Ovis aries: one gene and its partners. The protein of the gene in region 2 interacts with the protein of the main gene of each other region in a biochemical or structural test. Links are inferred from orthologs where the notes say so. Each region holds a gene or a part of one and is shown on either strand. Other genes may lie near its edges.

The links.
Region 1: the proteins of POU2F1 (region 2) and SP1 form a complex in vitro, tested with the Homo sapiens proteins (3 studies listed by BioGRID and IntAct). The link is inferred for Ovis aries from reciprocal best matches to the Homo sapiens genes POU2F1 and SP1.
Region 3: the proteins of POU2F1 (region 2) and POU2AF1 are reported together in a solved structure, tested with the Homo sapiens proteins (2 studies listed by BioGRID, with this or other methods). The link is inferred for Ovis aries from reciprocal best matches to the Homo sapiens genes POU2F1 and POU2AF1.
Region 4: the proteins of POU2F1 (region 2) and RXRA form a complex in vitro, tested with the Homo sapiens proteins (2 studies listed by BioGRID). The link is inferred for Ovis aries from reciprocal best matches to the Homo sapiens genes POU2F1 and RXRA.

What each region holds. Positions count from the first base shown.
Region 1 is NC_056056.1:133,092,840-133,100,335, reverse strand, and holds part of SP1 (transcription factor Sp1), read left to right. Parts: intron 1-1,175; coding exon 1,176-1,344; intron 1,345-4,160; coding exon 4,161-4,360; intron 4,361-4,757; coding exon 4,758-5,071; 3' UTR 5,072-7,496. UniProt on the Homo sapiens protein: Transcription factor that can activate or repress transcription in response to physiological and pathological stimuli.
Region 2 is NC_056054.1:119,590,271-119,597,766, forward strand, and holds part of POU2F1 (POU domain, class 2, transcription factor 1), read left to right. Parts: intron 1-5,215; coding exon 5,216-5,357; intron 5,358-7,098; coding exon 7,099-7,244; intron 7,245-7,496. UniProt on the Homo sapiens protein: Transcription factor that binds to the octamer motif (5'-ATTTGCAT-3') and activates the promoters of the genes for some small nuclear RNAs (snRNA) and of genes such as those for histone H2B and immunoglobulins.
Region 3 is NC_056068.1:21,326,408-21,333,903, forward strand, and holds the end of POU2AF1 (POU domain class 2-associating factor 1), read right to left. Parts: intron 7,115-7,496; coding exon 6,984-7,114; intron 6,494-6,983; coding exon 6,451-6,493; intron 6,367-6,450; coding exon 6,101-6,366; intron 3,122-6,100; coding exon 2,807-3,121; 3' UTR 1,006-2,806; downstream 1-1,005. UniProt on the Homo sapiens protein: Transcriptional coactivator that specifically associates with either POU2F1/OCT1 or POU2F2/OCT2. It boosts the POU2F1/OCT1 mediated promoter activity and to a lesser extent, that of POU2F2/OCT2. It recognizes the POU domains of POU2F1/OCT1 and POU2F2/OCT2.
Region 4 is NC_056056.1:1,868,963-1,876,458, forward strand, and holds part of RXRA (retinoic acid receptor RXR-alpha), read right to left. Parts: intron 2,937-7,496; coding exon 2,786-2,936; intron 2,220-2,785; coding exon 2,040-2,219; intron 1,545-2,039; coding exon of another isoform or gene 1,447-1,544; intron 1-1,446. UniProt on the Homo sapiens protein: Receptor for retinoic acid that acts as a transcription factor.

The DNA of each region.
Region 1 (7,496 bases), on a different chromosome or scaffold from region 2:
CATCTAATCCCAAACCAAAACCTTCCTGGCATGTATATAGCTAGCTACGCAGAATTAACTTTGAGGACTTTCCTGGTGGTCAAGACTCTGTATTTCCGCTGCAGGGGGCTTGGGTTTGATTCCTGGCTAGGGAACTAAGATCCCACATGCTGCTCCACATGGCCAAAAAAAAGGAATTAACTTTGACCTCAGCTCATTCATTTTCTCTGTATGTCAAAATTTGTAATATGTATGTACTGTTTCCCGCTGAATATTCAGAACAATTTTTTGCTCATTTCAGGAAGTTTCCCCTTTCTGGTTTTGAACAGTTTCTAGTTTAGAGTCCCGTGAAGTCTTATTTTTAGTCACTTCCATTTTGTTGGTTCCATAATACATTAGCTCTGGGAATGAGTAAGAGATTTGTTGTAACCTCTTTCTATAGCAGTGTGTAACTTTATCTCATTCTTTTTAATGCATATATAGTAGTCCACATAAGTTTATTGTAATTTACTTAAGAAGTTCAGCAGTTGTGTACATTTTGATTTTTTTCCAGTTTTTCGTTATAAGGCTACAGAAAACTTTACTGTCTCGTATGTTTGTGTTCTCATGAACACATCCTTAGGACATTGTGATTGAAAGTGAAATTTCTTTGAAGATGTGCACTTAAATTTTTAATGATATTGCCACATTGGCCTTCAAAAGATCATACAGGGAGTTCCCTGGCAGTCCAGTGCTTAGGACTCTGCACTTTCACTGCCAAGGGCGCAGGTTCAGTCCCTGGTTGGGAAACTTAAGATCCCACAAGCTACACAGCTCAGGTGCACCCTCCCCCCCCAAAAAAAAGGTTGTGCTAATTTATCACCACCTGCCACTGAGCCATCTGGGAAGCCCTGTATCTTTGCCAGTGCTGTACATTGTTAGAGTTTTACCTTTTTAACCTGGTAGGCTAGAGCAATCATAAAAGTCAAATAGAATTGTGTTTTAAAATTTGAGACTGAGCATGTTTTCATAGACTTATTGTTTCTTTGTCTCTGCAGTGCTGATTTTTGAGATTTCAAGTATAGGCAATATCAGTGAAGGTGACTTCAAAGTTTTGAAGAAATGGTGCTGTAAAAGTCAAGGGTCACTGTGGCTGTGATGATACCTGTGGCTATGATGACCTTCCCACTTTGACCCTTGTACTCTCTTAATTTCAGGTGATCATGGAGCTCAGCTTGGCCTCCATGGGGCTGGTGGTGATGGAATACATGATGACCCAACAGGTGGAGAGGAAGGAGAGAACAGTCCAGATCCCCAACCCCAAGCTGGTCGGAGGACCCGGCGGGAAGCATGCACTTGCCCCTACTGTAAAGATAGTGAAGGAAGGTAAGTTGATTCAGCCGGTCTCTTTAAGAGTGTAGGATGAAAAATTAGTAGATTAGGAGGGAAAAATAAGTGGTTTTTTTTGTTTTGTTTTGTTTTGTTTTAACTTTAAGACTTGGCAGGGTTACACAGGGATCAGAGATAGTATAGTGCATTTGGTTAGGCCGAATGTGGTCTTGATTCCAGCTCTGGTCCTTTCATCAACTCTTAGACCCTGGACCTTCAGAGATGCCTGCTTTCTGTTAGAGACAAGGAAGTCACATGGAGCCAAATGGTCAAATGAGTGTTACTTTATGTCTGTTTTGAGATGTTTGTTTTTACTCTTTAAAAAAATTCTGTTGGTGAGATGGTTTTAACAAGATAGCTTATAAAACAGCCTGGCAAAGAAACGGAAACATACCTACTGTAATGATTATTTTACAGTGACTGTGTGAAAATCATGAGTTTGTTTTTTTTTCTTCCTCAAAATAGATAAAACTACTTATTCTGGGTAGAAAATTCTTCAATCAAATAATCTAATATCACCTACAAAACAGACTTCTGATAGATTTTTGCATTAATGTGCTGGCTATACAATATTATCTCTGAAGAGTTCCAGGTTATTTCTCTTTTCTTCAAGTCACTGACTTTGAAAGAGAATAGAAAGTCATATAGGTTTCTAATTGCCTTTGAAAAAAGTCTGTTAAAGTTTTGCCCCATTAAAAATAAGCACAGGGGACTTCCCTGGTGATCCAGTGGTTAAGAATCTGCCTTGCAGTGCAGGGGACTCAGCTTGATTCCTGGTCAGGTAACTAAGGTCCCACGTGCTGCCAAGCAACTGTGCTTACACGCTACAACTAGAGAGTCCATGTGTCGCAGTGAAAGATCCTACATGCCGCAGCTAAAGACCTGACACAGCTGAGTAAATAAATAAATACTAAAATAATAATAATAATAATATGACAGAGTTTCCCTGGTGGCTCAGTGGTAAAGGATCTGCCTGCCAAGGCAGGAGACACAAGTTCAGTCCTTGATCTGGGTGGACCCCACATGCTGCAGAGCAGCTAAGCTTGGGTGCCACAGCTGTTGAGCCCCGTGCCCTGCAGTAAGAAAAGCCTCTGCACCTGGGGAGAAGCCCCTGCGCATTGCAGCTGGAGAACCTCCACACAGCATCGAAGGGCCAGCACAGCCAAAGTAAAGAAATTACGTTTTTTTTTTAAAAAAGAACTTAAGAAAAAAATAAGCACAAAAATAAGAAATGTACAAAAACAAAAAACAGTTTGAATTCTTTGTAGGTTACTCTATATTATGGAAAAAACCCGAATCAAAAACACTTAAGTACATGGACTTCCCAGGTGGTCCAGTGGTTAAGATTACACACTTACAGTGTAGGGAACATGGGTTCAATCCCTGGTCGGGGAACTAAGATCCTGCCTGTTGCATAGCACCCCCCAAAATTTAATTAAAAGGGGAAAAAAAGCTCTTGAGTACAGTAGAGTTTCCCTCTCACAAAGCTTCAAGTGGATTTAAGTTTTTGAAATAAATTCTCTGACTTCCACCTAAGTATGATTTCATTTCTGTTATGTTTTTTTTCTCTGCTCCTCTGCTAATGTGTGCTGTTAAAACCCAAGGCAAATCTCTTTTGGAAATCTCCATAGTGCCCACTAATGGATCACACATGGTACAAATTGGTTTGGCAAAAACATTTCAGAACTGATTTCCTGAGAGGAGCTTAGGATTTGCTCCATATAGGGAATTTTTTTTTTTTTTAAATATACCTTGAATTAGTTATGGTCCTTTTTTCCCCTTTTTAACTTTTTTCCATCCCATCTTCTTCCACTGATGTCTCTCATAGTACTCTATCTTTTCAGCTTTTAATCTTTACCTTTTGGCTCTTGACCTTTATTTTGGAGAAGGGAAAGCTTTGTAGTTGTAAAATATTATGTTTTAAAGTTCTCCACCAAATGCTTAATGGAGAGACCTTTTGTTCACTAATAAGTTCCCAGTCAAAAATATCACCACATCACCATATTCACAGTGGCTACCATGGAAAATGCATGTATTGAGACTTAACATCCAGAAAAATACAGGAAAATGCCTCATAGATTTCACAAGTCACCTTGAAAATGACATCACACATTGGAATTGACTATAAAGATTTAGCTGTTGATATTAAAAGTGAAGGCTTTTGGGAATTCCCTTGTGGTCCAGTAGTTAAGACTCTGCACGTTCACTGCAAGGGGCACAAGTTTGGTCCCTGATCCAGGGACTAAGATCCTGCATGCCATAAACAAATTTAAAAAAATAAAATGAAAAAAAAAAAAAGAATTGAAAAAAATAATAAAATAAAATAAAATGAAGGCATTTGTGTGTGTGTGTTGAGAAGTCTTTTTTCTTTTTGTAAACTGTACATATCTAAGTGCACATTTTGATGTTTATTTATTTATAGCTACACTAGGTCTTTATGGCTCTGTGGGCTTTCTTTTGTCGTGATTGGGGGCTACTCTTTGTTGTGGTGCACCGGCTTCTCATTGCAATGGCTTCTCTTGTTGCATTGCACGGGCTGTAGGGCCCGCAGACTTCAGTAGTTGCAACCCCTGGGCTCTAGAGCACAGGCTCAGTAGTGGTGGCACATGGACTTAGTTGCTCCATGGCATGTGGGATCTTCCCGGAACTGGTTCGAACCTATGTCTCCTAAGTTGATAGGCAGATTCCTTTTTTTTTTTTTTTAAATAAAAACTTCGATTAGTTTTGAGTGGGTCCAGTAATTACTGTGGGTACTTTATGACTCTAATTTTGTCTCTAAAATGAACAAAGAATAATTGTGTTTTCATTTCCAGGGGCTCTGGGGATCCTGGCAAGAAGAAACAGCACATTTGTCACATGCAAGGCTGTGGCAAAGTATATGGCAAGACCTCACACCTACGGGCACACTTGCGCTGGCATACAGGCGAGAGGCCTTTCATGTGTACCTGGTCATTCTGTGGGAAACGCTTCACACGTTCAGATGAGTTACAGAGGCACAAACGCACACACACAGGTGAGCGGGAACTTGGGAAGGGAGAGGTAGTAATGGACCAGAATGAAAAGACAAAATATACCTCGGAAGTAACTAAAATTTCTGAGCAACTTATGTTTGAAATTGAATGTATGGATCATAAATGGCATTGGAGTTAATCTGAAAACCCTTAAGAAATAAGGGTTCTGAAGGTCCTATCTTACTTTTCTGCTATACTTCTTCCTTTCTGAGGACTCTCTAATCTTTACTCTTTTTTCCCCCCAAAAGACAAAAGATAATCACCAGAATTTTCTTGTTTTTAATCACCTTTAAGATTAGTCTTATTCTGCCTTATATAGTTTGAAGGGAATGAATTGAACAAGGTATCCCTACTTCCTAAGATGTGATTGTCTCATCTTCTTACTCTTCCTTTACCTAGGTGAGAAGAAATTTGCCTGCCCTGAGTGTCCCAAGCGCTTCATGAGGAGTGACCACCTGTCAAAGCATATCAAGACCCACCAGAATAAGAAGGGAGGCCCGGGTGTAGCCCTGAGTGTGGGCACTTTGCCCCTGGACAGTGGGGCAGGTTCAGAAGGCAGTGGTACTGCCACCCCTTCAGCCCTTATTACCACCAACATGGTAGCCATGGAGGCCATTTGTCCGGAGGGTATTGCCCGTCTTGCCAACAGTGGCATCAATGTCATGCAGGTGGCAGATCTGCAGTCCATCAATATCAGTGGCAATGGCTTCTGAGGTCAGGCACCTGGGGCCAGAGACGTATGGGCCATACCCGTCAACCCTGGGATGCAAGGTAGCATGGGTCCAAGAGACGCGTGGGAGAGTGAGCCGTGAGGCATTGAAATGCGTGGTGGTGGGAAGAATTGGGGGTGGGACACAGAAGAGATGGGGTCCTGGCACCCACCTGTGTCATCAGTACCTTCTTAAAGTGGGAAACATAGTGAAAATTCTGTTGGTGCCACCTTTGATGAGCATTTGTTTGACCCCAAACAGTTTCTGAACACTTCTTACCCCAGCCTCCCCTTCCTGCATTTCCCTTCTCAGCTCCCCCATGATGGATCCCCCCCTTTCCTAAAGCCATCATGCCTTGATAAATATATATGATCATTGAAATACTTTTTAACAAAAACAGATTCTATATTATATATATATATATAAAAGATATATAGAGATGCATTTGCAGGGGTTGGCTGGGAGGAGGAAGGAGACCATTCGGTGACCAAAATACCTTGGTCATTTTTTTATATTGCCTTATTTCCTTATGGCTGAGCCTTGTTGTGACACATCAAGATTTTCTATAGATGTTGTCTTGGCTTCCCACCAGATTAAGCATTTATATGCTCTGCTTTTAGTTTATATATACATAGATAATGTTTTCCTTTTCTTAATTTTGTCTTTTAATTTGGGATCAGCTTCTTGCACTCTTTCCCTGACTCAACCCTTTCTGTCTCCCCTTCTCTCACCTGATCACTTCATGTTTTGTTTTTGGTAGTGGTCCCTGGATGAGGCACTTCTGTCATGTTTTTATAAAGTCCTTAGTCCCAGCAGCAGAATGGAGAAGCCTTGAAGCTCAGGCGAATGCTTGAGGTAGCTGTGAAGAGAGTGTTCAAAATACTACTGACGCAGGCACCCTTTTGGTGCTGGAGAGTCAAAGGCACCTCTCTCTTCATTAGCTGCTCTAAGCATCAGGAATCAGAAGTCTTTCTATGGAATTGTACAAGAGACCTTTGAAAGTTATAGTCTGGGATCAGTTTGTGCAAACTGTGAAAAGATGGTCAAATAATAGGTAGGAGCTTTCAATAGGAAAATGATGTGCTCAGAAGTGGAAGTGACTCAAGTAGTTCAGTTCAGGAGTTAGTGGAGTATTTGGACCTTTGTGCAACTGTCTTCCAAGGTAGCTCTAAGCTTTGATGTGTGGGCTTCTGAGTTCACGTTCTGAAAGGAAATAACACTTCCTCTTTTGAACATCTCCAGTAGTTGCTTTCCCATTATGTTGTTATGGAGTGTCAGCCAGTGACTGTTCTGGATTTCCATTCTGCAGAACTCCAGAGCATGGATCAGTGGCAAGGCAATGGTTCTTTGATCTTTCCCCTTAGCTCTTCCTAGGGTGGCTCCTGAGGGGAAAGGAAGCACTCATGATCATGGGAATGATAGCCCAGAACAAAAAGAAATCTTGTCTTACCACTGTGGCTTATAGGGGAGACCAGGGAAAACCATCCTGCTTTTCTCCATGGCCTGATTCCTGAAGAGACTGATCCAAAAATTACAGCGGCAGGGAACTCTTAGTGCATTTGGCACTGAGATTTAAATGCAACCAGAGTTGTCCTCAAGGCCCAGCCATTAAAACATTGTCTCTCTTGACTTTCTGGTACCTCGTCAGAGAGCTTTTCACTGTGAGGAAGTGTGGAAATGGCTGTGTGTATGTGTGTAATCTGTTAGATTGGGGATAGGTTTTCTGTTAGCCAATACTATAAGAGACCTGCAATAAAAAATTACCCTAATCTGATAGAAAGTGAAGTGTTTGTGTATGACCGTGTGTGAATGTGTGTTCGTGCTTGTATATATCTACACACAGATGAGAAATTATATTTGAAATTGTTGGAAAATAAATCAAATTCAGATCAAAATGCCTTTCAGGCCCATTACCTAGAAATCTATCTTAAAACCTGGGTATGTTCCTGAGGTCATTGCTTTGCTTTTGCTAAACTAGTTACAATTATGAATGGGGGATATTCTACTGCACTTTTAAAAGAAGAAACTATTTTTGTGTTTGAAAGTGAAACCAACATCCAGATCTATAGCAGAGTCCTAATTCCTCTCATAATTCTATTTACCTTGACTATAAATAGATGATGCCATGATTCTACTATATATTTTATATAAAATCTATCCAAATTAGGGTTTGGGTAAGTTTATGTTGTTGTTTAACCTGAAATACAATAACTGTTAATATTTTAAACAAAAGCTCACTCCATTTGGTTCTTTCTCTGCAGACTTAATAGTGTTTTTGACACAGAAGCTATTGCAAGGAACTTTCCCCTTATCAAATTGCATTAATACTGAAGTAAAAGTTATCTGCCCAGCCACTTATCACACCCTTTGTTCCCACTGAAAGGCAGAACTCTGAACATGTTATTTTATATCTGTAATCATGTACATA
Region 2 (7,496 bases):
CTTTCACTTTCATAAGAGGCTCTTTAGTTCTTCTTTACTTTCTGCCATAAGGGTGGTGTCATCTGCATATCTGAGGTTATTGATATTTCTCCCGGCAATCTTGACTCCAGCTTGTGCTTCCTTCAGCCCAACGTTTCTCATGATGTACTCTGCATATAAGTTAAATAAGCAGGGTGACAATATACAGCCTCGACGTACTCCTTTTCCTATTTGAAACCAGTCTGTTGTTCCATGTCCAGTTCTAACTGTTGCTTCCTGACCTGCATACAGGTTTCTCAAGAGACAGTTCAGGTGGTCTGGTATTCCCGTCTCTTTCAGAATTTTCCAGTTTATTGTGATCCATGCAGTCAAAGGCCTTGGCATAGTCAATAAAGCAGAAATAGATGTTTTCTGGAACTCTCTTGCTTTTTCGATGATCCAGCGGATGTTGGCAACTTGATCTCTGGTTCCTCTGCTTTTTCTAAAACCAGCTTGAACATCTGGAAGTTCACGTTTCACAAACTGCTGAAGCCTGGCTTGGAGAATTTTGAGCCATTCCTTTACTAGCATATGAGATGAGTGCAGTTGTGCGATAGTTTGAGCATTCTTTTGCAATGCCTTTCTTTGGAATTGCAATGAAAACGGACCTTTTCCAGTCCTGTGGCCATTGCTGAGTTTTCCAAATTTGCTGGCATATTGAGTGCAGCACTTTCACAGCATCATCATTTAGGATTTGAAACAGCTCAACTGGAATTCCATCACCTCCACTAGCTTTGTTCGTAGTGATACTTCCTAAGGCCCACTTGACTTCACATTCCAGGATGGCTGGCTCTAGGTGAGTGATCACATCATCCTGATTATTTGGGTCGTGAAGATCTTTTTTGTACAGTTCTTCCGTGTATTCTTGCCACCTCTTCTTAATATCTTCTGCTTCTGTTAGGGCCATACCATTTCTGTCCTTTATCGAGCCCATCTTTGCATGAAATGTTCCCTTGGTATCTCTAATTTTCTTGAAGAGATCTCTATTCTTTCCCATTCTATTGTTTTCCTCTATTTCTTTGCACTGATCACTGAGAAAGGCTTTCTTGGCTCTCCTTGCTATTCTTTGGAACTCTGCATTCAAATGGGTATATCTTTCCTTTTCCCCTTTGCTTTTCACTTCCCTTCTTTTCACAGCTATTTGTAAGGCCCCCTCAGACAGCCATTTTGCTTTTTTGCATTTCTTTTTCTTGTGGACGGTCTTGATCCCTATCTCCTGTACAGTGTCACAAATCTCCGTCCATGGCATCAGGCACTCTGTCTATCAGATCGAATCCCTTAAATCTATTTCTCACTTCCAGTGTATAGTTATAAGGGATTTCAATTAGGTCATACCTGAATGGTCTAGTAGTTTTCTCTACTTTCTTCAATTTAAATCTTTATTTGGCAATAAGGAGTTCATGATCTCAGCTACAGTCAGCTCCCAGTCTTGTTTTTGCTGACTGTATCGAGCTTCTTCATCTTTGGCTGCAAAGAATATAATCAGTCTGATTTTGGTGTTGACCATCTGGTGATGTCCATGTGTAGAATCTTCTCTTGTGTTGTTGGAATACAAAAGTAGGAAGTCAAGAAACACCTGGAGTAACAGGCAGATTTGGCCTTGGAGTACAGAACAGCAAAGGCTAGTAGAGTTCGGCCAAGAGAACACACTGGCCATAGCAAGATCATTAGGTGAAATAAAATTACTGAAGTATAGATTAGATTGGGTATTTCAGTAGAATCAGGAAAAGCCTGATGGTTTTTTCCCCCAGAGAATATAATTACTGTTTGAAATTTAAGCCAGCACTAAAGTATTATCCAAATTATTTTATGTTGAAAGTGTTGTAACATACCACCTACTCTGGTAGATAAAAAATCAAGAATGACATCCCTGTTTTGTTCCTTATATTTCTTTGGTAATTTATTTTAGCTCAAAGAAACATTATATATTGAGAACATAAAATGTTTTTCAATAGATATAATAATTTTAGAGAAAATGCATATTTGTGAAGAGTCTCAGTTATGAGGAAACAAATTGTAATTCACAAAGTTTTTAGTACTTTGGAACTATCTAAACCATCTGACTGGCTTTTTAAAAGAAAGCTAAGATAATATAGAACTAGATTGGTAGAAATAAATTAATAAGCTTAAATAAGTATCAGGTTGGCAGGTTTAGCAGTGCTTCAGCTCTTAAGCTATCAGCATAGCATACTCTTCGTTTCCTAGGAGATTGTTGTCCGAGTGATATGGCAAGACTGTTAAGGCTTTTAAAAACCTTTAACTTTTATACCAAATAGTGGTTCGCCCTTCTGTGGCAATTTGACCCAACACACTGGCAGGGTTGCTTCTCTCTCTTTTTCTCTTTCTCTCTCTCTTGCCTTTTTTTTAGTATTTATGTATTTGGCTGTGTGGGGCCTTAACTGTGGCACACAGACCGTCGACACCTCATGCAGGACCTTCCACAGGCGTGTGGGCTCTCACTGTGATGCGCGGGCTCCGCTACTCCGCAGCGTATGGGCCCTCGTTGCCCAGTTAGGGATCACACCCACATCCCCTGTATTCCAAGGCAGATTCTTAGCCACTGCGCTAGCAGGAAAGCCCCTCTCTCTTGTTTTGATAAAGGAGCTTCCCTGTGATCTGTGTTCTGCTTGCGGTTTTATCCTGTTATTTGACACGTCGCTTCCTTATTTTTCAAATGACTTTGACTTAGCAGTGGCAGCGTTTCACAGACCTTGACTGTGTGTATTAAGGCGCACATTACTGATGCAGGATGGGAAGATCAACGTGTTTTATGTCAGATACCTCAATTGTGGTTGTTTTAAACATTGCTTTGTATGCAGTTTATATACATTCACTCAGAGGGTAAGTTAGACATTCAAGTTATTAGTTGAAACAGACAAATTCCTGTTCTCTGAGTAAATATACACGTTATTAGGTGTTTTAAACAGTATTTTCTAACTACATAATTTGTTAATTAAAGGATTGCTGTAGATGTTATTACATAATTAGAAGGCATGCCATATTCTATACACCATCCCTCACATGTGATACATTCATTATTTCCTAATCTCAGTCTTCATTCCTCTTTTTCTCTGCTTTTAAAATAAAAAAATCAAAGTGATATTATTTAGTTCAGATTATGTATGAGTTAACTGTTCAAACATTTACCCTGTGAGGGAGAACCCAAGGTGGTTGTGTATTACGGAAGCACTAAACCATCTGATATCAAATTAGTGAAAATTAGTATATTAACTCAGAGAAAGCAATGGCAACCCACTCCAGTGTTCTTGCCTGGAGAATCCCAGAGACAGTGGGCCCCCGTCTATGGAGTCGCACAGAGTTGGACACGACTGAAGCGACTTAGCAGTATATTAACTGAGGCATCTGCTGCTGTTTAGACAATGAAAGCCTTTACGTGTGATGGTCTACTTCTGCTCTGCTTCTATGAGACGGTATATTCGGAGCTGTCAGTGAAGCCTTCTATGATTTTGTGTCTGTGCTGTCCAGTAGGATAGTCACTCTCCACACGTGCCTCCTGAGTACTTGAGAGGCAGCTAGTGGTGCTAAGGAATGACATTTCTAGTTTATCCGCTTTGAATTCATTTAAATTACACACGCAGCTGGTAGCTATTCTGTGGGAAAGATTAGAATATAGATCAGTTGGAGTTCAGTTCAGTCACTCAGTCGTGTCCGACTCTTTGCGACCCTATGAACCGCAGTACGCCAGGCCTCCCTGTCCGTCACCAGCTCCCAGAGTTCACTCAGACTCATGTCCATCGAGTCGGTGATGCCATCCAGCCATCTCATCCTCTGTCGTCCCCTTCTCCTGCCCCCAGTTCAAGTATTCTCAGAGTCTCATTTTATCTTTATCCAACATTTCTCCTCTGTTAAACTTTCTGATACAGTTTGCTCACCAGTAAGAAAATGGAGTTTAAAAAGAAATATTCTTTCTTTTCACTGACTAACCCCTTATGTAAGTGCTAATAGACAATGTTCTATCCAAAAGGTGATTTATAAAGGAGATAAATCAAAGGAGTGAGATATTCATAATTCAAAATGAGTGTTGCCAAGATAGTTGGGAGTTGACTGTCTTAGTAGAATTAGCTATGTAGTATTTTGGACCAGAAATGTTGCCTTTCTGTCTTGTCACTAAACTATTTTAAATGAGAGTGTGAATTATTTCTGCTGTATAACTGGTGGCTCAGACAGTAAAGAATCTGCCTGTGATGCCAGAGACCCAAGTTCGATCCCTAGGTCAGAAAGATCCCATGAGAAGCGAATGGCTAAAAAAAAAAAAAAAAAAGAAGAAGAAGAAGGGAATGGCTACCCACTCCAGTGTTCTCGCCTGGAGAATCCAAAGGACAGAGGCTACAGTCCATGGGATCACAAAGAGTCAGACACAATTGAGCGACTGACACTTTGTATCACCTATATATATATACAATAAGAGAGGTTTCAGCTGGAGGAAAAGCCCTCCATACATTTCAAAGGCTTATAGAGAAAGATATTTTTTGCAGTATATTCAGGGGATCATTGTTCTATTGCTATAAGGTTACCAAGTTTCCAGTGCCCATAAAGGTTTTGACTAAATGGGTCAAAACTCTCTACTGTGAATTTCTATAATGGTTACAGAAGTAGTCTTTTTAGAATACCTGGTTTTTATAACAAACTTTGAAATCCAAACTAAGAGTGCAAAGATTTTTTTTTCACAGCTTCCAGAAATACTTTACAGGAAAAAAATTAAAGGACGAAGCATAATTTCTAAGATTTAAAGTGATTTATGTGAAGTTGGATTAGTTCAGAAATATCTAAGGTTATACAGACAGCTACATCTATTAACCCTGTAGGTGATACAAATTAACTGATTTCTAAAGATTACTTAGGTCACTTTGGTTGCATCAGTTACTTGGTAGAATATCAGCACTACCTTTTGAGAGTTAGCAGAAATACTTGATATTTCAATTATTAAGAAGAGATTCAATATGGAGAGAATATGGGACAGTTTTGAATGTTGTCACCATTGAGGCCTAATTAACAGGAACCTTCACTGGAATACTGTGCTCAGCTTAGGGATGGATGTTTTTGTGGAACCTGGTAAATGGAATGATTGTTGATTCTTTGTCTAGAACAGTTACTGGAGCAGCACCCTCGAGTGAAGACCATAAACATTACATGAATCTTCTCTCTCTCTCCTTTCCTATTCTGTATTATTGTACAGGGCGATGTTGGGCTTGCTATGGGTAAACTGTATGGAAATGACTTCAGCCAAACTACCATCTCTCGTTTTGAAGCCTTGAACCTCAGCTTTAAGAACATGTGCAAATTAAAGCCACTTTTGGAGAAGTGGCTAAATGATGCAGGTGGGTAAATATATAAAATATATATATATTTCCCTGTTGATCATTGAAATTTTACAGGAGGGATTGTTGTATAAATGGGGATTACATTTCTTATTACATTATTGATACTACAGAATCTTAAAGCTCACTAATCTTGGGAGAATCAATATAAATTATGACTACATAAATTAGAGAGCTAATTCATTTAAATAGTCTAGTAATTACAAGGTACATAATCAGCAATAGTTTTTAGCTTTGGAACATTTCTTGTATTTGAGCCCAGAATGAGAGACAGTTGAAGGAAGTTGAAGAGGCTAAGAAGGCCTATGTATTTAAATAAACTTGAAAAACAAGTTTATTGGTTCTTCCTCCATGGATTATTATAAATTTGTTCCTGATAGTATTTCTGCTTTGTCATTAAAAGTGACCACACATTGGTATGTCTATACAATGGACTATTACTCAACCATGAAAAAGAATGAAATGTTACCATTTACAACAGCATGGCTGGACCTAGAGAATATTATATTTAGTAAATAAGTCAAACAAAGACAACTACTATATGATACCACTTATATGTGGAATCCAAAAAATAATACAAATCTGTATTCATGTAGAAACAATCACAGACATAGAAAAAAAAACTTATAGTTACCAAAAATGGGAAAGGGAGGGAGGGACATATTAGGAGTATGAGTTTAATAAATACAAAAAATACAAATTACTACTGTACATAGGTAAGCAACAAAGACCTGCTGTATTGTACAGAGAATTATATTCAACATCTTGTAATACTCTGTAGTAAAATACAATCTGAAAAAATGTATTTATAACTGAATCACTTTGCTATATACCTGAAACCAATAAAATATAGTAAATCAATTATACTTTGATTTTTAAAAAATGACTACCTTTTTATACATTTAAAAAAAATTGAGCTATTAGTTTTAACTTACATGCTTTTTGCTGCAGTTTCCCTTTGGAGATTTTGAATTTTGAGTCACAGAATCATAGACTGTTAGAGCTGTAAGGAATCATAGGGATCCCCTAGACTGTGGTTCTCATTGTAGGTGTGAACAAAATTCAGGTCTTTTGCAAAGACAAACCTATAACTCCCAGCTTTGAACAGTTCCACATATGGCCTCAGCATCTGTAATCTTACTGAGTTCCACAGGTGTGAACCTGTGGTCTGTTCCCTTCGTAGAAAATAGAGTGGAAAGAAACTCAGAGATGTCTCTGACATGCTCAGGGTCATTAAACTATTAAATGGCCGAATCTTGTTTAAACTTTAAATAGTTTAAAAATGTTTCATTGTTTGGTTTGAGGGGAAGGAGAGAAATACCAGTGAAATAAAGTGAGAGGTCATTTGCAAGATAAACGTTTAACAGTCAATAATTTCCAGGTTTTCTTCCTTTCATCCTTAGAGTTAATAAATGAAAGAGCAAGCAAAACCAAATCAGAAGAGCAGAACTCTCTCATGGAAGCTGAAGAGGTAGAGCTTAGAGTAAAGAGAGGAGCAGTCGACTACTGTGTCAGAACAAGTCAGAGCGTAGCAGGCGATCTAATGAGCCGTCCTGAGACAGGGCCAGCAAGAGCAGTGGGAAGGCCCATGGCAGCGAGCACATTCTAATACAAGTTATAGTAACCTTCCATACTTGCTGTTAGCCTGAAATATTTCGGTTGATTGTTGTTATTAATATGTAATTGTGTGCATGAATCATGCTCAGCTAATTTGATTTATGTGTTTTCTTCTTTCTTACAGAGAACCTCTCATCTGATTCAGCTCTCTCCAGCCCAAGTGCCCTGAATTCTCCAGGGATGGGGATTGAGGGCTTGAACCGTAGGAGGAAGAAACGCACCAGCATAGAGACCAACATTCGTGTGGCCTTAGAGAAGAGTTTCTTGGAGGTTAGTGAGGTTTTTACTTTTCATGTACATGGGATTGTCTGTGTAATACTAATGTTATGTACAGCGGAAACACAAGTAGTTTGGTTTGGCTAAATTCTAGTGTTTGGAACCGGAACTCTTGCCTTCCTCACATTGTCCAAATGAGATTATGTGTATGAAGCACTGGAAAAATTCTTAAATTCCCACTAATAAATAAGGCATTAGTTTCATTCATGATTAATTGCCCTTAAAAATATATGTGTATATATATAT
Region 3 (7,496 bases), on a different chromosome or scaffold from region 2:
TCACATACTCATCTTCTCCTTGATCCCTGTTTTCACGTTGAAAGTGGACACCCTTGTGAATCAGAATCCTGTAAAGCACCAATCTATACAGAACTAGTCACTCTCTTCATGTTGTATGCAAGTGGTTCACCCTTCTATCACATAAGGGGTGAGTGAGGGCTGCAAAGCGCATTTTTAAAAGGTCTTTCCCTTCAGTTGCGCCTTAGTAAATCTAGAGAAAAAAGCCTCGAATCCCTTTCCTTTCAGGTCTTTTTTCTGGATTATGATCTACATGAAGAATAAACAAAGAAGACAGTGGTGGTGATAATCAAAAGTGAAGCAAATAATCAGATGTATTTTTGTCCCCCCAAACTGGAAATAAGGGACACGGCAGAATAAATTAGATCATTTTTAAAAACGACAATCATCCCAGTAAATAATACCAATGAAGGCAGTGAGCTCAGAAATTCTCGGTAACTCAGAAAATCACCAGGAAAAGGCGACCCCTCCAAAATGTAACTCATGCCAAGGACTGGTGTTAGAGGAGGCTGGCTGGCTTCTAGAGATCCCATTTCATTGTGATGTCTGGTCCTAAGAAGAGATTGGCCTCCTTTGGGCATAGCACTTGGCACCATGTCACACGTCCCTGTGTCCCTGTTCTGATCAGTGGACTCTAAGAACCTGCTGTGGAAGTGCCAGGGGCTGACTTATCCCTGGACACCCAGCATCATGAGCAGGTACTCATGTTCGACAGATAAGAGGAAGAGTGATAGGGTTAAAAAGATTTGCTTCTTTTTCTCAGAGCCCTACTCTTCCGGACACCAAGCCTCCTGGCTTTGCATGTTTTGCTTGGGAGAACTGGGCTGCAAGCAGAGTGGGGCTACACTTATCTTCCCTGGCAGCTGGTCACATTGCAAAGTCAACAAGACTAGTATAAGCTCCTTCCTTGGACGACACTGCCTGACATGGAACTGCAAGCTAAGGGGATTAATCTGATAAGAAATAAAACACTTCAGCACAGAAAAGTCTGAGCAAATCTTTATTGAAAATGTTTCCATCTTAACAGAAAGCCCCAGGAAGAAGCTTAGATGGATGGTTACAATCAAGATATCTGACCTCAAGAAAAGAAGAAAAAAAAAAAAAAAAAACACGTCTTAAATCTTAGCAAATATGTCAAGTATTTGATTTTATTGCTTTGCTAGTTTTGCCAACTTAAACTCCCTAATAGAGGCTGCTTCTGCACCTTCTCAAAGCTTCCAATCGTAAGTGGGAAAATCTTGCATAGTGTTTTTTATAGGAAACCAGGGCTTTTGATCAAACAGGCCCGAGACTCCCTTCTCTCTTGCCTACTCACACCACTGCCAACAAAGATGGGAATTTGTTATCTAAAATGCTATTTTAACCTTTTAAATCTAAAAAAATTAAGTCTGAATAAAACAATTCAAGATATCAGTTTTGGGGACTTGAGGCAGATACCAGAAAGTTAAGTCAAAAATAAACCCAAAGCAGAAAAAAATCCAAAGAAAAAAGGCATTTTTTCTCCAAAATGTTATTTTAAATGGCGAATCTATGTCATTCCCCAGAAAAGTCCACTACTTCTATATGGCGTCCTCCAACTAATGCTAGTTTCCCATGCATACAGCCACTGTCGGGAGATGAGCATTCTGGTGGCAGCTGTGCTTGGGCCCCTGCAAATCTGATGTTTCTCCAGCAAAAAAAATAAAAACAAAAATGGAAATGAAACCTGGCAGTCCTTCTGACTGAGGCTCTAGAAGCCCCAGGAAGGTTGGTGCTTGGCGGGGAGGTCTTGACTCCACAGAAGGGTGGTCCATGGAAGTTCAAGAGGCACATTGGCCATACTCAGCCAGGACCCACGCACCATGATCTCAGTGGATCTTGGCCTGCATTCAGCCCCGCCGGGTCTGGACATGGAAAGACATATACAGTCATTCTGTTTATGAAAGCTCAGCTCTCCTTGCAAGTATCCTCAAGGAGAGCAGCAAAACCATCTATTAAAGCTATATTTTTCTGAAGTACATTCCCCTTCTTAATAACCAAGTAATTAAAGCAAATCATTCCTCAGTCCTTCTGCTCTCCCCTGCCCCCACGCCCACCCCCAAGTATGCACTCTAACTCCCCATCCCTCCTCTGTCCCCCCCCAATCGGTCCAGCCCCTACCCACTCTGATGTTCCTTCCCACCCCCCACCCTCCACCCATCACCTCGCTGAGCCCCAGGTCTTGAGACCCTGCTGCCTAGACTGCAGAGCTGGCCAAAGCTGAGAACAGCAAACAAAGGAGCAATTGTGGGAACTGACACTCAAGGCCTCCAGCGTTGGTTCTGCCCTTGGAGATGCTGGCAGGACTGGTCTTCTCACAGGGCACCCCGCCCATCTCAAAATGGCAAAGCACAGGACGTCGCTGCCTGCAGACAGCTCAGTGGGGCTGCTGCTACCGTGAAGCAGGGGGCACTGGAGAAAGGGGCCTTCTTCAGGAAGGGAACATGATAGAAGTGAAAACCCTGGGCCACAGAAATTAGGCAACACCCGGCATCAAATCTTATCTTTAAAATCCCTGATTCCTTCCCAAAAGGGAACCGAAATGGAAAAAGAAATAAGAAAGGGTGAGTGAGAAAGATGGGGAGGAATGGAAGGAGGGCAAGAGGGTGGGAGAAAGTCTGGTTCACAATTCTAGCTTAGGGTAGAAAGTGTAGTTACGAAATGGCAACTTCAAGCAGAAATGAATCGGAGGGTTTGATCCCTGGCTTATTTTTAAATCCCAGTTTCAGGGAACAGGGTGCTGAACAGGAGGCTCTTGGGGGCATCAGCGCTAAAAGCCTTCCACGGAGAGCGTGTGGTTGAGCGCGTAGGTGTCGCTATCTTCTTCCTCCAAAAGCAGCTTATCGATGGTCAGGGAACCGATGGCTCTCCTGGGGTCCTCGGCGTCCGGGAGGACTGGCTCGGGGATGGAGATCGGGAGCTGGACAAACTGGGGCCCAGGCAGGGCTGGGGCTGGAGGCTGGTACTGCAGGGTGGAGGTGGGCAGCGTGGACAGAGGCTGAGGCCATGGGAAGTAGGTGAGGGGGGCCTGGTGCTCGGGGCCCTCCAGCGGGGGCCCCACGGTGGGCGCGGCGGCACTCCTCGTCTGTGATGGAGAAGACGCAGGGTGGTTAGCAGGGGTGGAACTGCTCACCCCAGTTCTTGCGGGGATCTCTGTTTGCCTCACCTCAGCCCTGTCCTGCCATTTCACTCCAGAGGGCTCTTTCCCCTGTGCAAAGTCTCCCCCAAGGGGGAAGCCAGACAAACTTCCACATCCCCTTCTCTGTCACTCACTAGGTATATGCCCTCTTATACTTCCCCACCTGAAGCCTCTGTTTTCTCATCTGTAAAACAGATTCCCCAAAGGACTGACATCACCGGGCTGAGTGAAGAACAGATGCTTTTCCAGATTTCATTGAATATAAAATGCACCCAGATTTCAGAGATATCAAAATATGTGTGTGCAGGGGTGACATGCATCTTAAAATCAATGATAAAATAGCATATTAAACAATAAGCCCATCACACAGCATAGCAGCTGTATTGCCAAGTGGCCGCTGCTGTGCCTAGACACAAAGACTGTCCTGGCTCCACACAGCAGGTTTGGGATTCTGAGGACCCCTTGAGCTCAGCTCCACTAGCTTCCCATTACCTTATCCTCTGCTATTGCTTAGCTGGGCCCCCTGTGGCCTTTCCAGGGACCTCCAAAGGTCAGGGCCATTCTCCCAGGCGCTCTGTAAACAGTATCTTTCACCTGCATGGCAGCCATCCTACAAATCCCAGCTCAAGCTGCCAAAACCAGGACCTGGACGCCACTGATGAGGAAGGAGGTAGGAGAGGACTGTCTTTGCATGGAATGATGTGTGTGAGAGAGGCCAAAACCTCCCCCATCACCCTCTGTCCCCTGCTACATTTCCTCCAGTGGCCACTGTGTCTTGAGAACAAACTATTAGAGTCATTAGTCCTGTGTGTTCAGTCATGTCTGACTCTTTGTGGCCAACCAGGCTCCTGTGTCCATGGAATCATCCAGGCAAGAATCATGAAGCAGATTCCCGTTTCCTACTCCAGGGGATCTTCCCTACCTGGGGATCAAACCCACGTCTCTTGTGTCTCCTGCATTGGCAGGTGGATTCTTCACCACTGAGGAAGAGCTTATTTCAATCTTTTGGGACCTTGCTGCAATGCATATTCTGGTACAGGAGGTCTGATCAGACCTGGATTCTGCATGTCTAATAGGATCCCAGGTGATGCCAATGCAGCTGGTCCAAGGACCACAGTTTGAGCAGCAAGGCTTTAGGGTATTTTTCTATAGAATAATAGAGCTGGAAAGGGTCTCAGAGGACTTTTCAACCTCCCAAAAAAGCCTTATCACTTCTAGTATTTAAAAAATCCAAATGGAAATCCTGCATACACCTGGGCAGGTCAATTACCACTGCAGATATCTTGGCTCAGGGATAGAATTACATCAACCCGTCATACAGGTCTTATCTCCTGCAGATCAGAAGTGGAAATTGTTAGCTCTAACCAGCTTTGATAAGTTAATTTACAAAACGGCAAGACAAATAAATTATTTCTTAATAAATATGGTTGGTTTGATACACAGAACTTTTCAAAGCAAGAGGTGGGATTGATGAAAGGGATAAGGAAAAGAATCCCTGGTCCTGAAATGGTTGGGAACCACTGTGTCCATCACTTCCCACCCCCACCCCAGGCCTCCGATATGGAAATGAGCTGCCTGAGAGGGGTGTTGAATGAACTGCTTCCCATCCACCATCATTCAGGTCCCACCACTGGTTTGCTGAGCAGCGGGTGGGCATGGAGGGACAGGGGTCCTGCAACCCAGGCCTGGATGGTGCTTGAAGGGGAGAAGCTTCAGGATAACACTGGACCTTGAGGTAAACAGACGGGCTTGGGGGGGCAAAGCAAGTTCCATCATCATGGGTGGGCTCTGCAGTGACTCATGAGAGCCTTGCTCTGCCTCCCACAGCCTTCCTTGGACTGGTGCTAGATATGGCTGTAACCACTGGTCTTTTCCCCTCTGAACACCTGGGGGCTTCCCATTCCTTTGGTCAAACAGCCACCATTCACATAAAACTATTTCTCTTCCTTCCTCCATTCCTAGGGGAGCAAACCCTTTCTTTCCTATCCAGCACTTGAAGATAGCACTTGGTTAATGCTATTGGTCAACTTTGAGGCAATCGTAGTTAACTCATATCTATTGAGTGCTTTCTGTATTTTGGAAACCAGGCTGAGCCCAGGAAGTGTTCTAAGCAGTCTAGGTGCATCAGGCCATTGATCATGACATCAACTCTTTCGTTAGTATTCCCATTTCACAGATGAGAACATTGGGATTCAGAGCATTAAAGCACTGTGCTTGGGGTCACATAGCTAGTGAATGAAGGGGCAGAGTGTCAGACAATCTGACACCAGAGGTGGAACTCAAAAAATTACCCTGCAGGTGGGTCTCTCTCCATCAAAAGTACAGTTTTCTGAAAAGTTGTCTCATGTGTTGCTCAGCCTAGAAATTTTCTGAAAAATCCCATTATTGGGTCAATAATCACCCCCTAAATCATCTGAGTAGAAAGGAGAGGCCGGCTCTGGCAAGAGACTCCATGCAAACATCACCTGGTTCCCCATTCAGGAAAAACTGAGGTCCATCCCTGAGACTCAGCATATCTGAGGCAGCAGCGCAGATAGGGCAGACCGGCAGGCAGGTGGGCATGACAGCCCAGGGAGTACAAGGCATGACAAAGGAGGCCATCAGCCTTTCTACGGGAGACATCTGAAGTCACTGGGAGTGAAAGAAGGCCTCCCTGGGCCACTCACCCAATAATGGGGTTTGTCTGAGCAACAGGTGACACAGCTTTTGAGAAAGCCATGCTTCTGGTGGAGTGAGAACCACCTACAGGGTAGTTTTTTGAATTCTGCCTGTAGTGTCAGATCGCCTTAAGCCCCACCCTGGAGGACACGGTGGGCTTAGATGATCTGATTATCCTGGGCATCAACAGCAAGGAAGGTCAGGAGCAGGAAATCAGCCCAGGTTCTAGAAGGGTGCCCTCTGCATAAATGCCTTCATGTGACGTACCGTGACGTTGGTGATGAGCGGCTGGGAGGCATAGGTCAGCACCGAGGAGGGCCCCACGACCGTGTAGCTGGGGCACACAGGCTGCACATACATGTCAGCCGAGTAGGGGCAGCTGACAGCCTCGTGGGGCACGTACTCCGTGTAGGGTGTCCATGGGGCCAGGGGCTGGAGGGCGGCCGGGGTGGGCTGGGAGAGCCAGCCCGCACACAAGGCCCCCTCCTCCGTCACTGTGGAGGCAGAGACCTCCATGTCAAGGCAGGAAGGACCTGCAGGAAGGAAGACGTTACAGAGCTGCACGTGACACCCAGACGAGGGGCTGGGAGGAGGCCGGGGCTGCGGGGAGCTCTTACCCACTGTGGTGTAGGTCGCCAGGGGCTGGTGGGGCAGCACCACCTAGAGGGGGGAAGGAAGATGGGGTCCAGGTTTCAGCCACCTCCAGCGAGCCGTCTGCAGGAAGCTCACCCAGAGGGTCCCAGGGCAGGAAAGGAGGGGGTGAAGGGCAAGAACCCCTGTCGTTAGAACAAGCACCTGCCCCCCGACCCAACCAGCACCACCTATACTTCCCAGGGGGGTGGGTGTTTCCCCTGAGCGAGAAGGCTGTGCACTTAGGGAATCAGTCTCACCCTGTCCCAGGGGGACCCTCAAATCCTATCAGGACGTGTGAGACACCTGCTGCTCAAGTGGGATTTCTCTCCCCACTTCAAGTAACTCAGCTTCTTCTGCCCTGGGCCAGGTCTCCAGGAGCCACACCTCTGCGACATGTGGTCCTCATGCCCTCGCTGAGGAGCCCATGGAGCAAGGACATACACCCGGCCTGACCCCCTTGGACCACTCCCCACTCCCTACACGCACACACACACTCTGATCACAGCAGCCCCCTCACCGCCGTCGGTGTCACCGATGTCCCACTGTTGGCATGGCCCCGTTTCCTCCGCAGCAGCTCCTTCACCGGCTCCTTCACACGCACACCCTGGTACGGCCGGGGTGGGGCCGGGGCTTGCTCTGGAGCTGTGGCTGCAAAGAGAGCATCACTGGTACTCGTCTCCCTGTGCAGACAGCCCCCAGCCCAAGGGGCCCGCTCTCCTCCAGGGTCTGCCTGCTCACCTAAGCTGTGCTTGAAGGTGCGGGACCACACGTGACTTCCTAGGACTTTGTCCCAGGGTTAGCACCCCTCCTGCCCCAAACCCTCTAGGCTCCCCTCCACCCAGAAGATGCAGGCTCGAGCACTGCAGCGTGATCTCAACCCAATTCCCCAACCTTTTTGTACACTAAGCACCTCCTGGATCCTGTCGGGCCAGAAGCTCTGTCTAGACTCCTCTCCACCTTCTGTGAAGGTCTCCCCTCCTCATCTCTGCCAGCGATCTCCCAGGGTCAGGAGTCCCTCTCACTATTCTCA
Region 4 (7,496 bases), on a different chromosome or scaffold from region 2:
GGCAAGGGGGTCAGAGCCACTGAGCCCCCACACCCGAGACTGCAGCCCCACTGGGACAGGAGATGCTGTCTCCACTTTCCCCAGACCTTGGGGGGACAGATCACTGGGGTGTCCCCCAGGCCCACAAGTGGAAAGCTTGAGAGGACCTTAGGGGAGGGTCAGCATTTACTGGACTGGACAGCCCTGGGGACCTGTGTTCAGTCACTCTGTGGGGCCCGCAGGGAGCCACATCAGCTGGGGGTCTCGACCTCTGCACGTGCTGCCCCTCCATCCAGACACGTGGTCTGCTGAACTCCCCTCCACTCTTCAGGGGTCAGCTGGACACCTGTCCACCAAGTGCTGCCCAATGCCCACAGCAGGGCCAGGGCCTCCTCTGGGTTCCCAGAGGCCCCAGGCTTCCCCGAAGACAGCACTGACTGCTCCCAGAGGGCCCTTCCTGGCTGTGTGATGGTCACTTTCAGTGGACAGATGGCCACGGCTCGCTGACCCACAGCAAGGTGCAGATGTACACACGTCCTCTGCCCTCCTGCTGGCCTGGAGGGAGAAGGTCAGCACTGGAAGCCAGGGCCCGGTTCCAGCCCCACATGTGACCGTGGCTGAGCCCCAGACCCTCTGGGCCTCAGCTTCTCCACCCGCACACAGAGGGGTGGGCCACTGTCTCTATGGAACACGCGCCCTCATCAGGAAGGCTGGGTGGGCAGACCAAGGCCCAGGCCGGCCCCCCAGCTCACGCTGGAGCCCAGGAGGTGCCGCTCTGCGGGGTCCATGGGCACACTGCCCCTCACCAGCGCCAAGACCCCCAGCCCATCACTGCCTCTCAGCCTCAAGGCACAGATCCTGCAGGACCACTGGCCCAGCTGAGGTCTCGAGTCGTCAGCAAGAAGGCCTGGAGCCCAGGAAACAGACGAATGGATGACACGGAGATTGCAGCCTCCACAAGAGGGCAGTGCCCAGTGACGAGACAGCTGCCCAGCTCCCCCACAGGACGCGGGGTGACCAGACAGCCGCCCGGCTCCCCCACAGGACGCGGGGCGACCAGACAGCCGCCCGGCTCCCCCACAGGACGCGGGGCGACCAGACAGCCGCCCGGCTCCCCCACAGGACGCGGGGCGACCAGACAGCCGCCCGGCTCCCCCACAGGACGCGGGGCGACCAGACAGCCGCCCGGCTCCCCCATGGGATGGCTGGGGGGAAGGCACACACACCACCAGCCTGTGGGGACCGGGGAGCAGACAGTGCAAGAGGGACATGCAGACCCTCACCCCAGACAGCACCTCCCAGCCAGGAGCCCCCAAGCCTGGGCCAGGGAAGCCGAGGCCCACAGACAACAAGGGGCTGGGAGGAGCCCGCCCCAGGCCCAGGCCCCGGCCAGCAGGACAGCAGGACAGTTTCAGTGACCCCGGGGGAGCAGCCTTCATGTTCCCTGCCCCACCGCCCGACACACACCTGCTGTCGACGAAGCCTGGCCCCAGTCCTGAGGCGGAGGCCTGCAGCCCAAGTCTCTCTACTGTGAGGATCTGGGGCGCAAGGCACCCCCGCCCCATCTGCGGGAGGAAGCAGAGCCCAGGACACCCCGGCGCCCAGCATGCTTCAGCTGTCCTGATGGTGTCCAGCGCTCCCTGCCCGGCCCCCCAGCCCCGGGTCTCCTGAACCATCCTACCGAGCGGCAACAAGCAGGCCCCAGGACCGGCCTGTCCAATCTCTGGGGTTCGTTCCAGGTGGAGCCCCCACCTCCCACCGCAGCCCCCCAGAGCCCACGCACTCGTGGGCCCACCAGGACCTCGGAGAGGCTCTGATGGATGCCTGTCCCCAGTGGGGCTGGGAGCCGCCGGCAGGCAGGACCCAGGGTGTCCCTCCTGTAACCCCAGAGCCTGGCGCGAAGCTGGTGCTCAGGCAAAAGTCAGTGGGTGAGAGAACTCGGCCCCCAGGGATGTGTGCCAACGCAGCGGCAGCGGAGGCCTCTGGGGGTACTGAGCCCCGTCATCAGAACTGCGCAAAGGAGCTGCGAGCAGGGAGGGCCGCGCGCCCGGCAGGCCTACCTTCGCGCTTCATGCCCATGGCCAGGCACTTCTGGTAGCGGCAGTACTGGCAGCGGTTCCGCTGCCGCTTGTCAATCAGGCAGTCCTTGTTGTCCCGGCAGGTGTAGGTCAGGTCCTTGCGCACCGTCCGCTTGAAAAAGCCTTTGCAGCCCTCGCAGCTGTACACCCCGTAGTGCTTGCCTGCGGGCGGGGCAGCCGTGAGCGCCACGCGTGGCCTGGGATCAGGGGGCCTGGAGCCCTCATCCTCTCCAGGTCCGGGCAGGCGCCCCGGAAAGGCTCAGCCGGTCTGCCAGCGGGGCTGCTGGGCTCGGGGGGGCATGCGAGGGGCCCTTGGCCCTGGGCACAGCCCAGCTGCCCCCTGGCTCCACCGGAGCCACCCGCCCCGCCCACCATCTCCTGGACTTGGAAGCACTAGGAGGTCCAGGGTGAGCGGCTCGGAGCTCCCGCGGACCCTCGCTGGCAGGGCCGGGCTCCTGCCGCCCCCCACCCCGGCACCCCCACAGGGTCCTGCAGCCCCGCCGCGGCCCCACGGCCCCGCCCCCGGGCCCCACGGCCCCGCCCCGCCGCGGCCCCACGGCCCCGCCCCGCCGCGGCCCCACGGCCCCGCCCCCGGGCCCCACGGCCCCGCCCCGCCCCGCCCTTGGCCCCGCCCCGCCCTCGGCCCCGCCCCACCCCGCCCCCGGGGTCCAGCGCCGCGCCCCGCCCCCGGCCCCCCGCCGCCCCACCCCGGGGGTCCCGCGGCTCACCTGAGGAGCGGTCCCCGCAGATGGCACAGATGTGCTTGGTGAAGGACGCCATGTTCCCTGAGGGGTGGGCCGGCACTTTGAGGACACCATTGAGGCCCAGTGGGGGCTTGATGTCCTCGCTGCTGCTCACGGGGTTCATGGGCGAGCTGAGCTGCGGAGGGAAAGTGGGGTCGGCCCTGGCAGGCGCCACGGGGCGTCCGCGGGACAAGGAAGGCACTGCCACGCCCCGCTCCACGGAGAGAGAAACGGGGGCTCGGAGGGGGCCTCACCCACCCCCAGCCATGTGGCCCGGCAGGCCCAGCCCCAGGGAGCCCGGCAGGATGTCCGCCCCGTCGTCTTGGCCAGGCTGGAGGAGGCCGTACTGCCCCCACGGCCCCAGCTCCCACGGAACCCCAGGCTCGAAGAAGGACCCAGGAGGCCCCGGCTCCCACCCCTGCCCCTCGTCCGCCTAAGTGAGAACTGCCTGCCACCCCCGGGCACTGCCCCCAGCGGCCAGCCAGAGCTCTGGGACCCGCTGGTGTGGCCGGCGCTTTAGGGACCCCAGCCCGTGGATGGGCACCGAAGCCTGACCCCAGAGAGGAGGGAGGGGAGAGGGAGGAGACAGCACCCCTAAACACACACACACACACAGTCCTCGCACATACACACACACACACAGCCTCACCCACACACACACCCCCTCCGCCCCTCCCGCCATCCTGACGCTGCGCCAGGAGGAAGCGTGGGAAACTCACCGGTCACCGTGGCAACAGCTGCCTCGGCAGTGACACAGCAGTTTTGGTTCCGCTGCGCCCACCCCAACTCTCCCGTCAGCGCCCAGGGCCCAGGGGTGCTTCCCACCGCACCCTGCAAGCCAGCCGCGCCCCACAGGCGCCAGGGCGCCAGCCGGCAGCCCCCCAATGCCCTCACTTCTGCAAAGCCCTGACCGAGGCGGAAGTCAGGTCCTGCAGCGCCTCTGGACGGACTGCGGCCGCCGCGCTGCCCCCGGGTCGCCCTGGGCCGGGCTCCTCCTGCACACGGGAGCCTCACCCCCTTACCTCCCTGTGGGCCCTGACTCCTATCCCCCTCCTCCCAGGACAGGAGGAGCTGGTGCTCACAGAGCACTCGCGAGCACCTGCACGGGCTCTTCCAGCCCTGGACGTCTGGGCTCGCCTGCCCAGGTGGCCACCTGGTTCCGTGAGGAGACTGAAGCCCACGGGACTCAGGGGGCTGCAGGGAGGCCGGGAGGCCAGCTATGGCCATGTGGGGCTGTCAGGACACAAGGGGAGGGGCGAGGGGTGTCCAGAGGACCCCACTGGCTCAAAGAATACCCCCCACCCCCCAGCACAGTCTGCAGGCTTCAGGAGCATTTTCCGGAAGACGGTCAGCTCAGAGGGGGCTCCAGCTATTTGCCGAGTGCCATCGTGCTGGGCTGTGCCCTGTGGGAAGCCCCAAGTGAGCGGGAAGAGCCGCCCGCCCCCCTCCAGAGTGGATGCAGAGGCCAGCCAGGGGCACACAGCTTTAAGGGGTGACGCAGGTGTGAGCTCAGGCCTCTGGAGCCACAGCTCTGAGGGACTCCCTGCATGCTGAAAGAGTGTCCAGGGCCCCAGGAATAGGCCAGCCCAGAGCCGCGAGACCATCCACTGAGCACCCAGCCAGGCACCCAAGGCCACTCGCTGCCCCCTGCCCGGGTGGGGCTCGCCGGGAGGTTGGGGGGGCGGCCACAGCTGACCATGGGGGTTCTGCCCCCTTCATTCCCTGAGTGACTTTGGAGGAATTATCTAATCGCCCTGGGCCTGAGGCTTCTCGTGTAAAAACCAGAGAGACAGGAGTGCCTCCGTCCAAAGGTCGCCGTCAGGATGCTGGAGCAATCGGGGGGCCACGCTGACAGCAGAGCTCATGAGCCCAGCTCGGGGTACAGCAAGCAGCCTCTGCAGAACACTGGGGCCTCGGGGGGGCCGCCCCCAGGCCGGCCAGGCCGCGGACGACGCAAGGCAGCACCCAGCCAGAGGGAGCCGCCAAGCACATGCTCGGAGGAGGGCACGCCAAAGGACTGCTGGTAAAAGGGCAGGAGACCGGGGTGGCCGGGGTGGCCGGTCAGCAGCAGAGGCTAAGGGAGGTCCCCAGGGGCCCTGAGGACACCGGTGTGGGCCGGAGGCTGCGCCCAAGGCCTGCGAGCCCGGCCACAACCCTGAGCAGCTGGATCCGCTGGGCGGCACCCCGGAAAGGAACTCGGGCACTTCCTCTGTGTCTGTCCAAACCATGCTGGGTGGGTAGGGCCCACCTGTCCTGTCCCCAAGCCCCCCACAGGCAGGCCCTCGGGACCGGTGTCCGCCCTCCATAACCTGAGGTGGGCCTTAGCACCTGGGACGGAGCCCTCAGGCACGGTCAGCGTCAGTGGCGGCTCCGCAGCGTGCCCAGGGTGGGGGCCCGTCCCATTTCCCCTTTCGCGTCCTCAGCATTCACCTCAGTTCCCGCAGAGCCTTCAGGACTTGCTGAGATAACCACCCGGCTCCATCGGGGCCCCAGATCTCCTCCTGTCTCTCGCCGCCCCTCGTCCACGCCCACCACACCCTTCCTTTCCAGCCCTAGCCGGTGAGGCCAATCACCCCCGTCAGCATGGGGTGGGAGGCCCCTGGACCCCACTGGCCTCTGCCTGCCCGTCAAGGCCGAGGGCAAACTCCTACACGTGGCCTGGTGGATGCAGCTTCACGGCCGCAGTGCCCACAGCAAGGACAGGTAGGGCCCATGCAGGTCCTGCCCAAGGAGGCTTGTCAGGGTGGCGAGGCCAGGGCGCCAAGGTGCCCACACGTGCCCAACACTGCAGGCGAGCTCTGGGCTGAGGTGGGGAACGCCCCCTGGGTTGATGGAGCCCCTGAACCAGGGGAGAAGAGGGGCAGCTCAGGCCACAGTGCCCGCAGCCCGGCTCGGTTCTGCCCAGAGCTCCCAGCACCACCCGCATCCACTTCCCTGCAGGGCGCGGTCGAGTCGGGGGCCATCCCCGCCAGCAGCAGGAGTCAGACCGCCTCACTGGTTCCGGCCCCTTGACTTCGCGGTTGTGGTTTTGAGGCGGAGGTGGGGGGGTGCCCCCCCGAACTCCACCCACACTTCCATGAATATGGGGAACCCCAAGTTTCTAAGACAAACTGCTGAAGCCTAGAAGCTGAACTCAGGTCCCAGGGAAGGAGTTATGGGGGGCAGGGTGGTGGGGACTGAGGCCTTCCCAGGGATGGTGGCCAGAGGCTCAGCCCAGGGCTCAGATCGCGGCTAAGCTACCTGCGGCCTGACTGACCTACAGAAGGGCAGGCGGACAGCTGAGCAGTGGGTCAGCACTGAACGTCGGGGGACACACCAGCACCCCTCCACTCCCTGAGCCCCGGCATCAGGCTCGGGACCTGCGGCTCCTTGCTCACAAGCACCTGCACTCAGCAAGCACCCATCGCGTGGCGGGAGCCTCGCTGTGTGCCGGAAGCAACCTACTAGGAGAGACGAGGCCCCACACCCCCCACCCCCCAGCATCGCCCCACCCCTACCCCCGGACAGGCTAACCCCAGGCTTGGGGGCATCGCTGCCACCCTCGAGCCCTACTCCGCAGAGGCCCCACTTCAGACTCACACCCAGGCTCCTCCGCACATGAGCCCTGGGGGCATGCAGGGCAGGCACCAGGCCTGGGGGCAGCAAGGAGCTTTGCAGGCCTGAGAACCAGCAGGTGCTGCCTCTGGCCTGGTTCCCAGGGGACAGGTGCAGTCTGGGCCTCATCTGCCTCTCGCTGAGCGGCAGGCACTCTGCAGCCAGTGAGGATCCGGGCGTGGTGGCTACGCTACAAAGAACACAGCCAATCCCAGGAAGGCGGCTGAGACCCCTCGTACCAACCCTCCAGCCTTCTGTCTGCTTCTGGAAGGCCAGGGGACACAAGGGAGCATGGGCCCCCCAGGAACAAAGGGGCTGACGAGGGGACCGGGACCAGCTTTCCCAAGACCAGCTTTCCCGAGACCAGCTCCGGACAGGCCCAGCTGACAGGAAGGGGGTGGGCTCCAGACCTCAAAGGCATCTTGCCCTCCTGTGCCAGGAGTGGGGAGTCCTGGAGGCAGGGCGCCTCCCGGGTGGCAGGGAGCCCGCGGGACACGCTGACACCGTCAGCCACACTTCTCTGGGCAGGGGGGCCTGTGCTGGACTCCCTCTCGAGATGGCTGTCCTGCCCTCCCCAGGGAGACAGTTCCCAGAGCTCTTGTCACAGGCCCTCCTCTACGGGGCCTCCTTGATGGACAGGCCTTCCGCTATGGGGGGGCCTCCTCTATGGGGGGCCTCCTCTACTGTGATGGGGGTGCCTTCCTCTACTGGTGGGCCCTCCTCTACAGGGACCTCCCTCTATGGGGGCGGTGCTTTCTCTCTGGGAGGCCTCCCTCTATGGGGGGCCTCCTCTACTGGGGTGGCAGTGCCTTCCTCTATGGGGGGCCTCCCTCTGTGGGGTTGGCCTTGCTCTACTGGGACCTTCCTCCACAAAGATGACCGCTGATCCCAGACATGAATGACACTCAGCAAAGGAGAACTCAGGTCTGTCAGGAAGGACAGTTTGAGCCCCAGAAACAAGGAGAACCCTTGGTTCAAGCAGATCTCCCAGGCATTCAGCAAAACATCCCACCAGGAGACCATCAGAGCCAGGGGAGGAGATGAGCTGCTGGGGCCCTGGGCAGCTCTGTCGGGGTTCAGACAAGAAGTGCCCACACTAGGC